3 linked regions of the Cricetulus griseus genome follow. The protein of the gene in region 1 interacts with the protein of each later gene in a biochemical or structural test. Links are inferred from orthologs where the notes say so. Each region holds a gene or a part of one and is shown on either strand. Other genes may lie near its edges. The genes, in order: Srpk2, Luc7l and Rbm15.

Region 1 (4,298 bases):
GTAGAAAAATATCTTTGTTCCTAGTAGACAGGCAATGTACAAACTACTGAATGATTCTGCAAAATAAACCATGCACACACTTAGAAGCAGATGGAAAGAAATGTTAAAAAAAAATGAATGTGGGTTAATAGCGTCCATTACTGCATTTTTCTCGTATTTTGTCCAGGAAATTGCGCTATAGACCAGGCAGGCCTCGAACTCACAGAGATCCACCTGCCTCTGCTTGTGCCTCTAGAATGCTGGGGTTAAAGGTGTGCGGCACCACCGCTCCGCTGTTTGATATTTTTTTTTTAGAATAAAAAAATGGAAAAAGTACATTCTCTTCAAACTCAAAGCAGCCTTTCGTGTTTGGACATTTTTAGAATAATACTCAATGATACAATTGTAACCAAAGGAGGTCTGAATGCTCAGGGCGTGTTATCTGTGAAAGATACTGTAACTGTTTAAAGAGCCCAAGAGAACACTGAGGTAAAAGCTATGTGCCAGTCAGCTTGATTCACATCCTGGGTAGCCTGGGAAGATGGAAAGAGAAACTAGCCAGGCGTGAATAAGGATAGGGTCTGGTAGTACTGTTCGACCTATTTCGGGTTGTTTCCCCATTGTAGGAGGAAGAAAAAAGCACTGCTTAGCATGATTTTTGTTTTAAGCTCTCATCTCACGGTATTTAGAAAACTGGGCTTCATGCGCCAAACTTTCCTTTCAAGCTATACGCATCTTTTCCTTCATTAACCTCACGCAGTCCTGTGGGAGTAGGAACAGGAGAGAGGCAATCACTTCTCCAAGGTCACCACACACTCAAGGACCTAGGTTCTCCGGCTCTTGTGCCCTTTCCACGCTCGCCAGAGAGGAGGAAGCTGCGCTCATGGGGATGCAGGGGTGCAGAGGCGTAGAGGGCGAGAAGAAGCCGCGGGAAGAGAGGTGGCGTGAGCACCGCGGAGGCGCGGGCGGAGGACAGGCGCGCGGAGGGGCGTGCGGCACGACCCGCCCGGGTGCGGAGCGAGGCGGGGCTGGGAGGAAGGGTCGCTCGGCTGGGCCCGGTGCTCAGGGGCCGGCGGCCTGCGGCGGAGGAGGCGCCCCGTGGGAGGCGGGGAGCGGGAGGCGGCGGCTGCTCGCTCGCTCGCCCGCCCGCTCCCCCGCTTTGGCACCCAGGCCGGCCGCAGGGCTGGCGGGCGCTGCGCCCCCCGGGGCGCGGCGGGGTCCCGACCCCTAGACACCGGAGGCGCGGTGGGAGCGCGGAGGGGGCGGGGCCGCGGGCGGGGCCGCGGGGGCGGGTCCCATTGGCCTCCGCGGGAGCGGCCACGGCGGCGCAGGCGCGGTTCCCGCCTCCTCCGGCCGGCGAGCGAGTGGAAGCTGCATCCCGGTGCGGCTGGCTGTCGCTGGTTGTCGCGCCGCCGCCGCCGCCGCCGCGCCGCCGCCCGCCCGCCCCTCCCCCCGGCCCCTCGGCTGCCCCGAGTCGGAATGAGCTCCAGGAAAGGTGAGCGGCGCGCGCGGCCCCTGCCCCGCCTCGCGGCCCGCAGGCGGCCGGCCGGACCGTTAATGTGTCTTCTCTCTCCTCAGTGCTGGCCATTCAGGCCCGAAAGCGGAGGCCGAAAAGAGAGAAACATCCGAAAAAGTGAGTCCGCGCGGCGCTCGGGCCCGGCCCCGCCCCGCCCCGCCCCGCCCCGCAGCGCCGAGGGCTGCTTGCGGCCGAGCTCCCCGGTCCCCGGTCCCCGGTCCCCGGGCCGCGGGCGGCGGGTCTCCTGGGACGCGGCGCCGGCTCTGCGCGCCCCAGCGAGGGAGGAGGGAGGAGGGAGGAGGGGGAGGGGCGCGCGGCCGCGGGTTCCGGAGCTGCGACCTGGCCCAGCGGCCTGCGAGCCTCACGCGCCCGAGCCACACCCGCGATCCGTACCCGGGTCCTGGTCCTGCGTCGCTCGGATGGGGAGCGAGCGGGCGGGCGAGCGGGCGAGCCAGGGAGGCGGCGGCGGCGGCGGCGGCGGCGGCGGCGGCGCGCTGACACCTGGGCGGAGGGAGCCAGCGCATAGCCGCCGCCGCGCGCCGCCGCCGCTGCCACCCCCGGCTCCCGTGTCGGCCATCGGGCCATCCAGCTTGTCAAGTGGTTTGGCCTCGGGCGCGTTCCTAGCGCGACTTCAGCTCCGGGACCGGTGCGTTTTCGGCTGTCGGATTTTTCATTCGAAACTTTGTGCTCGGGTCGAGCGTTACTTGCGCGCTGCTGCTGCGCCCAGGTCGCTCGCTGCAGCGGGCGGTGGGCGTGTGCGCGGGCGCGTCCCGCGTGGTGCTCCGGACTGCATCCTTCGGCTGGTGATATTTCAAATGTGCCAGCTCCAGCCACGTCCCGGTTGGGCGGCAGCTGCTGAAGAAGCCTTTCGCGGCGAGCTAGGTGCTCCGAGGCTTCCGAGCGCCGCCAAATGTGCCTTTTTCCTCCTGGGTTTGCCGGACCAGCGTTCAACATCTTTGCTCACGTTCACGTTGGTTGCTTCGTTCTTTTTGCGCAAGAAATTTGTGTGTGGTATCTTTAAAACTATTGAAGAAAAACAGAATCGCCTTTAGTAAAATCCGAAGTACTGTCTAGCTTTATTTTGCAAGGGTTGAGCAAAGGTTGCTCTATCCCCTAGGTGGTGGTTGTTGGCCCTAGTCTCAGCCTAGAGGATTTCCCACTCATTCGGTGGCATCTAGGAAAACTGGGAGTCATTGCTAATATGAAAGTGTTTTACAGTAGGATTGTCTTCATTCAAAATTGAATAAGATGTGGATATCTATGTAAATTTTTTTTTTAACTTAGGAGGCAAAACACTTGAAAACTGGAAGGTAAAAGTTGAAAATAAGAAAAAAGCTTTTGTGTTTGGATTTGGGGTGTGTACGAGCCCTGACACCTGTGGAAGTCAAGGAACAACTTTCAAGAGTTGATTCTCTACTATGTGTGGGACCCAGGGATCAAACTCCCGATGTCAGGCATGGTGGCGAGCACCTCTACCCTCTGAACCATCTCCCTGGGCATATACGGGGTATTTAAAATATTGAAACCCAGTGAAGGCTTCTGATAGTTTGATGCATTCTAAAAACTAGCGCTATTGCTGGGCTATGGTGGCACATGCCTTTAATCCTAGCACCCTCAAGGCAGAGGCAGGTGGAGCTCTTTGAGTTCAAGGCCAGCCTGATCCACAGAGTGAGTTCCAGGACAGCTAGGGCTACACAGAGAAACCCTGTCTCAGGACAGAAAAAAAAAAATCTGAAAGGAGTTGACAAAGCATGACTCAACTTTTTAGGATAGCTCTTTGTGTATAAGTGTACATTTATTTATGTGCATATTACATGTTCACATAGAAAAAGCATTTTTAATTGAGTGAGCATGTATTTCATTATTTTCCTGTTTTAGGATGTTTCATAATGGTCAAGGATCTTTGCTTTACTATAGCTTGCATTTGTGCTATGTAATGAACTAGGAATAGGAACATAATTTATCTAATCTTATATCACTTTGCCAGTCTCTTCTGTTTTGTACTGAGTTTGAAGGAAAACAATAGCAGTTAATGATGGGATGAACTGGCTTGATGTACAAGGTGTTTATCAGTAAGAACCCAGATCAAATCAGAGATGGTGGGAAGGTATGACTTTTAACTTAGGTTTTTTTAAAAAAAATTATTGTTTTATATAATTGATGGATACAATTATTCATGCATTTGATGCATATTTATATGCCTTAGAAGATGATGGGAAAGCTTTGTACACGACAGTAATACCCCATGAAGCTTAAAATTTTTTTTTTTAAATTTATTTATTAGTTCTAGTTAGGGAACAATCTTGTTTCACATGTAAGTCCCTTCTCCCTCTCCCTCCCCTCACCCCATCCCTCCTCCCCCACCCCCAGCCTACCCCCACCCCATCCACCCACCACTCCCCAGGCAGGGTAGGGCCCTCAACGGGGGCTCTGCAAAGTCCACCAAATCTTCCTGTGCTGGTCCTGGGCCCTTCCCCATGTGTCCAGGGCCAGAGTGTAACCCTTCACATGGGATGGGCTCTCAAAGTCCCTTCTTACACCAGGGAAAAATACTAATCCACCACCAGAGGCTCCCTGGAGTGCAGAGGCCTCCTTATTGACATCCATGTTCAGGGGTCTGGATCAGTCTTGTACTGGCCTCCCAGACAGCATCTGGGGTCGATGTGCTCTCCCTTGTTCAGGCCAATTGTTCCTGTGGGTTTCTCCAACCTGGTACAGACCCCTTTGCTCTTCATTCCTCCCTCTCTTCAACTAAATTCCCGATTTCAGCTCAGTGTATATCTGTGGATGTCTGTCTCTGCTT
Region 2 (3,647 bases), on another chromosome or scaffold:
GGTGACATCATTGTGTCATCTACCTTTATTTAATTGCTTAGCTTAAAAGACAAAGACAGTGGATGGGGAGGGAGAACTGTGGTTAGAATGTAAAATGAAGTAAAAAAAAAATAATGGGGGGGAGATAAAAGAGATTCATAACATAGCTGAGATGCCTAGATAGAATTACCCTAAAAAACTATGGGACTAGTGCTTGGACTGTACCCTAGGGGTATAGAAACACCATGAATGTGGCAGTGATGAGTGATGGTGATGAGTCATGACTCAGATACCTTCTTGTACCAAGTACTCCCTAGGCTAGAGAGGAGGTGTTGTTCTTTTGTTTAAGTTAGCTGATACATAATCTCAATGGAACACATAGAGTTTATTAAAGGGGGAGAAGAGAGAGACGAGGGGAGAGAGAGGAGAGCAAGAGCAAAAAGAGCAAGAGGAGAGGGCAAGAGAGTGTAAGTGGGTGGGGGGTCTGTCTTTTAAAGGGGTCCTTTACATACACCTTTGTGCAGACTTAGTACTCATAGAACCCTGGGCTGACCAGAATTCTGCCTGGTAACAGGGGCAAGCCAGTATAATGCCTGAATCCTGACAGGAGGGATCTCTGCATCCTTCTTGGTTACAGGTATATACGTACAGTATGCCTTAAACCCTGGTAGAGGAGCAGGTACTAGCAGCTTCTCGATGGATCAGGGATTCAGAGGTAACTATAGGTTGCTGGTTTTATTGTACTCATACACACATCATACTCACAAATCTAATAACCTCCAATTAAAAGAAAATATGTAATAAGTAATACAGAGATCCTTTTGTAGCCACAACCCCTTCTGATTTCTGGTGATTAGGTGTGGTGTTCTCATTGGCTTTCCATTTCTATAACTGATTTTAAGAAAATGATAAGCTGGGCATGGTTTCCCATAACAGATATTTCAGGGCTTGAGAGCCTGAGGCAGAAGGATCTTGCATCCCAGACCAGCCTGGCCTAAACAATGAGAATATTAACTTTTTAATATGTATGGATGTTTTGCTTACATGTCCGTTTATATACCATGTGCTTGCAGAGGTATGAAAAGGGCATTGGATCCCCTGGGACTGGATGGTTGGGGTGCTGGGAGTTCAACCAGGGTTCTCTTATAGAGCAGCCAGCCAGTGCTCTTAACCCATATCTCCGGCCCTTAAGAGATCTATAGTCTATACTGCACATGTCTGTAGTCCCTCAGGACAGGTTAGAGGATCACATGAGTTAACATCTGTAAAGTACGCTTCTGGAAATGTACACCAAATTACAATAAACCCTTTCCTCCCAACTTGTTTTTTGTCTTGGTGTTTCATATAGCAGTAGTAACACTAGTTAATTAGTAATAGTAACTAAGACAAGGTCTTACTCAGTTAATTGCTATAGGCTTCCATTTTATCTACACAGAACATTTATTGTTTCTCAATTCTTGGTGGGTTTTCACATTAAATCGTTTTGTAGTGGTGACCTATTTTTTTTTTTTTTTAAGTTTGTTTTTTCATTTTTCGAGGCAGGGTTTCTCTGTTTAATAGCTCTGTATTCTGGAAGTCACTTTTAGACCAGGCTGTCTTCTTGGTTGTGAACTTTGCCTTTAACGGCTGAGCCATCTCTCCAGCCCCTAGACCAGGCTGTCTTCTAACTCACAGAGATCCACCTGCCCTCTCTGCCTCAGGAGTGCTGGGATTAAAGATGTGCACCCCCACTGCCTGGCTGGTAACCTTGTTTTTAATATATGGTGACACGGGTTAAATAAACATTTTAGTGTTCCTGAAGGATGCATATTATGTATTGGCTACTTTTTTCTTTAAGTAAAGTGTCAATGATTTGGCCTTTCAAAGTATCTTTTAGATCTGCATTAGATATTTCCTGTATATCAGGATATAATTGCTGTGACTGTGCTAGCTTTTGTTTACTTTTTAGAAATAAGTATTTTAAATTATGTGTGTGGGGATTTATGTGCATCTGTGTAGTTGGGTGAGGTGGACTAAAGGCAATGGATCTCCCTTGTTAGAATTATTGGAGGTTGTGAGCTGCCTCCTGACATGATGCTGGGAATGTATACTGCTCGTGCAGTTTGGTTTTTTGGTTTTTGGTTTTCCAAAACAGTTTTTCTGTGTAGCTTTGGAGGCTGTCCTGGAACTCACTCTGTGGACCAGGCTGGCCTCAAATTTATTCATAGAGATCCGCCTGCCTCTGCCTCCTGAGTATTAAAGGCCTGTGCCGCCACCACCCAATGCAAAGTATACATTCTTTTTTTTTTTTTAACATTAATTTATGTATTATATATACAACATTTTACCTCCGTGTATACCTGCATACCAGAAGAGGATACCAGATATCATTGTAGATGGACATGAGCCACCATGTGGTTGCTGGAAATTGAACTCAGGTCCTCTAAAACAGCAGCCAGTGCTCTTAACCTCTGAGACATCTCTGTGGCCCAACTTTTTTTTTTTTTTTAAGATTTTATTTATTTATTATGTATACAACATTCTGCTTCCATGTATGTCTGCACACCAGAAGAGGGCACCATATCTCATTACAGATGGTTGTGAGCCACCATGTGGTTGCTGGGAATTGAACTCAGGACGTCTGGAAGAACAGCCAGTGTGCTCTTAACCTCTGAGCCATCTCTCCAGCTCCAACTTTTTTTTTTTTTTTTAAGTTAAGAAAATTATCTTATGGCCTAGACAGTGGTGGCCTTTAATCCTAGCACTTGGGAGGCAGAGGCACAGCCAGGTCTACAAGAGCTAGTTCTAGGACAGCCTCCAAAGCCACAGAGAAACCCTGTGTCAAAAATATATATATATTTTATGTATGTGGGTGCTTTGCCTATATGGATGCACTGCGTGTGTTTAGTGCTCCCAGAAGCCAGAAGAGATCCTGTAACTGAAGTCATAGATGATTGTTATTTCCATTGTGGATGCTGGGAACCAAACCCAGGTCTTCTGAAAGAGCATCTAGTGCTCCTAACTGCTGAACCATCTCTCTCCAGCCCCAGTTTTTATTTACTTTTGAAGTCTTGTCTTCCCTGTTGGTCTCAGAACAGTCATTCTTATCTCCATGTTTCGAATGTTCCTTGTTGCTTTTGATAAGACACACATAAATGTAGGTTTTTTATGCTTTGTTTTTTGTTTTGTTTTGTTTTCTCTCAAGACAGGGTTTCTGTATGTAGCTCTAGCTGTCCTGGAAAACCGCCTCCCTCTAAATGTTCTTTTAAAATAAACAATGAAATTGAAGCTGAACAATCCAGTTTTCAACATGTAGTGAAATGTTAATTATATTTCAGGTTTTCCTGGGGTCTACATTGTGACAGTTCTGAAATGCCTCATCTTTATCCCTCTCTCCCCCCATAGGAAGAATATAGAAATTCCATGCCTGCATCCAGTTTTCAACAGCAAAAGCTCCGAGTCTGCGAGGTTTGTTCAGCTTACCTTGGTCTCCATGACAATGACCGTCGTCTTGCAGATCACTTCGGGGGCAAGTTACACTTGGGGTTCATTCAGATCCGAGAGAAGCTTGATCAGTTGAGGGTATGTTAATATACTATTTCTGGAGAAGCCTTTGGAGTCTTGTGTCTTGTGGTTAACTTTAGCCTTTCTTTTTATCTTGCAGTTTTTTAAGTTACACCCAGTTAAAC
Region 3 (3,647 bases), about 120 Mb from region 1:
GACCGAAGTCCAGAACTGAGCAGTAACAGAGATCGCTACAACAGTGACAACGATCGATCTTCTCGTCTTCTTTTGGAAAGGCCCTCTCCAATCAGAGATAGACGGGGCAGTTTGGAGAAGAGCCAGAGTGACAAGCGAGACCGTAAAAACTCTGCATCAGCTGAACGGGATAGGAAGCACCGGACAGCTGCTCCCACAGAGGGAAAAAACCCTCTGAAAAAGGAAGAACGTTCTGATGGCAATGCACCCAGTGCCAGCGCGTCATCATCAAAGCAGAAAGCTCCTTCCCAGAAACAGGATGGAGGGACAGCTCCTGTGGCAGCATCCTCTCCCAAACTCTGTTTGGCTTGGCAGGGCATGCTTCTACTGAAGAACAGCAACTTCCCTTCCAACATGCATCTATTGCAGGGTGACCTCCAAGTTGCTAGCAGTCTACTTGTGGAGGGTTCAACTGGAGGCAAAGTAGCCCAGCTCAAGATCACTCAGCGTCTCCGTTTGGACCAGCCCAAGTTGGATGAAGTAACTCGTCGCATCAAAGTGGCAGGGCCCAATGGTTATGCCATACTTCTGGCTGTACCTGGAAGTTCTGACAGCCGATCCTCCTCTTCGTCAGCTACATCAGACACTGCCACCTCTACACAGAGGCCACTTAGGAACCTTGTGTCCTATTTAAAGCAAAAGCAGGCAGCTGGGGTGATCAGCCTCCCTGTGGGGGGCAACAAAGACAAGGAGAACACAGGGGTTCTTCATGCCTTCCCACCTTGTGAGTTCTCTCAGCAGTTCCTGGATTCCCCTGCCAAGGCACTGGCCAAATCTGAAGAAGATTACCTGGTCATGATCATTGTTCGTGGTGCGTCCTAAAGTCCATGTGTAACTTGTATTTACTATTTTGACATGGTTCCTTGTTTTGTGATATGTAATGGGATACAGCATCAGATAAATTTCTTTCAATTAGTTTAGTTGGTTTTTTTATATATATATTTTTGTAAACCTCCTTAAAATAGATATTGGGGCGATTTAGCTATTATTTTAAGTGAAAGGGATGCCCTGAAGGTAGCAAGAGGATGGATTTGCTTTAATTAGGAATTACTTTTCTTTTTCTTCTGGTATTTTTTTTTTCAGTCTCTTGAGTTTAAAAAAAAATCCTCAAAATGATAAAACCTACAACTTTTAGAATCATAATTTGGAGGAAAGAGCCTTTTGTACTGAAAAAATAGTGTGATTGGTGCATAGATAGTTTCTATACTAGAAGCATTAATCAGGTATTCCAAAGTTCAATTATTTTAATCAGGTATTTGAGTATTTTTCTTATTCCCAGAAAGTTTGCTTGCTTTAACATTTATGTCATTAGTTTTTGAGTTTTGTATCCTGTGTATGTAGCTGTAATTGGTAAAAATTGAGGCTTGTGTTATAAACCATTTACATCTTTAGCTGGTCTGCAAGAAATGAGTAAGTGCTTTTAAAATGAGAAGTTTTTGGTAAGTTAGGTGCACAGTGGTGTTTTTATTGACTTTGAGGGGTACAGCAAATACAGTTTTAATTGTGTATACTTCAAAACCAAAAATTAAGTTTTTTGTATCCATTTAAGAAATTTCTGATTCCAGTAATAGAAAGAACAGCTGTCTGCAGGCTTATAAGTAACTCCCCCCCCACTCCCATGGTCATTAATCAAACATCTGAATTACAGATTTTTTTTAAGGTTATTGTAAAATGCCCTTGATATATTTGAAGAAAATTCCTTCATATTTTATCTTCATATTTAAACCAGAGTAGTGGCATTACATTGTTGACAGTGTTTTGAATATCTTTGAAATTTAATGTCTAGTATTCTAGTATTTTGACTGCTCTCTGGCCTTATAGAGGTTTGAAGTGTCAGTGTTAGAAACCCCTTTTTCTTTTTCTTTTTTTCTTTTTTTTGTTTTTTGTTTGTTTGTTTGTTTGTTTGTTTTTCGAGATAGGGTTTCTCTGTGTAGCTTGGAGCCTATCCTGGCACTCGCTCTGGAGACCAGGCTGGCCTTGAACTCACAGAGATCCGCCTGCCTCTGCCTCCCGAGTGCTGGGATTAAAGGGATGCACCACCAATGCCAGGCTTAGAAAATCCTTTTTTATTTGATTTCTCAGGTGTTTAAAAAAATTAAACACCTGCTCAGAACTCACCCACCCCACCCAAAATAAAAAGCTGAGGATACATGGCATCTGGTACTTAATGAGGGCTTCTGCTACTTAGTATTGTTTGTTTTATGTGCTCTTCTGCCACTATTTGTGATGTCTAAGTCCATTATTAAATATGATTTTCTTCCCCAATTTAAGTACTGAGGATTTCAAGTAGGGTTTGGTATTTAGTTATGATTAGGAACTTGAGTTTTTGGATCATGGTTGTTTTATATTCTGTGAAAGTGACTTACTCAAAGCCTTGCAGAGCCCAACTGTTTTCTTTCTGTTATCAAAGCTGGTAGATTTGAAATAGCATCAATAATAACCCAGAGAAATGTTACATGATTTTAATTTTTCATTGTGACAAGTGTATAATTCATGTCAGTCTGAGAGCCTCATCACCTACTACATCATACTTTTGTTTTTCACTGTTTATAATTTTTATATTAATTTGGAGACTTTTGAGAAAAAGAATGTACTAGGCTTATGAGCACAAGGCCCTTAGTGTGCCTATAGGAAAAATACCTGAAATCTACAACGAAGACTTTGGGTGTCTTTTGTTTCCAAGAACAGTAGTTGGCATGAAATAGACATCTATTCAGAAGCTGATGCGAGTATAGTCAGAGTACGTGGAGTTTAAGTACAGTTTTTAGTTAGGTAGATAGATTTTTTTTCTAGTTTAAATAATTTCACTAGCCATTAACCTTTTAATATTTTTTGGTAAGATAGTTGGGCAAATGATTTTGTTGTTAGAGAGTGAAGTCTGTGACATCTAATTTTACTATTAATCAAATGTGTTGTGATGGTTTTCCTTTTTTAAAAACATTGTTGGTTAACACCTTATTCAAGAGTACCAATTTTTGTTCCATGTTTGAACCCTTATCTGACAATGCTACGTTGTTTTGTTAGATCTGATCAATTAGTGCTTCAGTGTTTTTGAAACAGTGGCTTGATGCCATTTCCAAATATATGTATTATGTAAATTAGTTTGGTGCTTACCTACAAAGTGCCATCATCTTATTTGTGTTGCCCACTCTTGTGCAGGTTCATAATATCTGGCAATTAGCACTTAAACCTTCAGAATTTGATTGAAAGCAGCTTAAAACTGTTTCTAAATCTCATTGGCTGTATCAGAATCCCATATTGGATATTCTTTTAAAACATTATTTTATGCATATGGGTGTTTTGCCTGTATGTATGTCTGTATACCACATGCTCATTGCTCTTCCAGAGGACCCAGGTTTGGTTTCCAGCACCTAATCCTAGGGGATCCAACACCCTCTTCTGGCCTTGGGATACTCATTTTAACAACACATTTTTTTGTTTTTTGTTTTCTTTCTTTAATGACTAGTACTTTAACTTTTTTTTCTTTCTCCTAAAATGAATGGAAAGAAAATTTCTTAAGTATGCTATTTATTAAATATACTGGTAAAAATAAAATTAAGACTTTATTGATCACAGCTTCAAAGTTTTTGGAAAGTTAAGCAATCACT

What was found.
Region 2: of the proteins of Srpk2 (region 1) and Luc7l, one has a biochemical effect on the other in vitro, tested with the Homo sapiens proteins (2 studies listed by BioGRID and IntAct). The link is inferred for Cricetulus griseus from reciprocal best matches to the Homo sapiens genes SRPK2 and LUC7L.
Region 3: of the proteins of Srpk2 (region 1) and Rbm15, one has a biochemical effect on the other in vitro, tested with the Homo sapiens proteins (2 studies listed by BioGRID and IntAct). The link is inferred for Cricetulus griseus from reciprocal best matches to the Homo sapiens genes SRPK2 and RBM15.

The regions. Positions count from the first base shown.
Region 1 is NW_023276806.1:170,914,335-170,918,632, forward strand, and holds the start of Srpk2 (SRSF protein kinase 2), read left to right. Parts: upstream 1-1,444; 5' UTR 1,445-1,458; coding exon 1,459-1,474; intron 1,475-1,557; coding exon of another isoform or gene 1,558-1,612; intron 1,613-4,298. UniProt on the Homo sapiens protein: Serine/arginine-rich protein-specific kinase which specifically phosphorylates its substrates at serine residues located in regions rich in arginine/serine dipeptides, known as RS domains and is involved in the phosphorylation of SR splicing factors and the regulation of splicing.
Region 2 is NC_048600.1:45,892,748-45,896,394, forward strand, and holds part of Luc7l (putative RNA-binding protein Luc7-like 1), read left to right. Parts: intron 1-3,363; coding exon 3,364-3,540; intron 3,541-3,647. UniProt on the Homo sapiens protein: May bind to RNA via its Arg/Ser-rich domain.
Region 3 is NW_023276806.1:49,816,762-49,820,408, forward strand, and holds part of Rbm15 (RNA-binding protein 15), read left to right. Parts: coding exon 1-850; intron 851-3,647. UniProt on the Homo sapiens protein: RNA-binding protein that acts as a key regulator of N6-methyladenosine (m6A) methylation of RNAs, thereby regulating different processes, such as hematopoietic cell homeostasis, alternative splicing of mRNAs and X chromosome inactivation mediated by Xist RNA.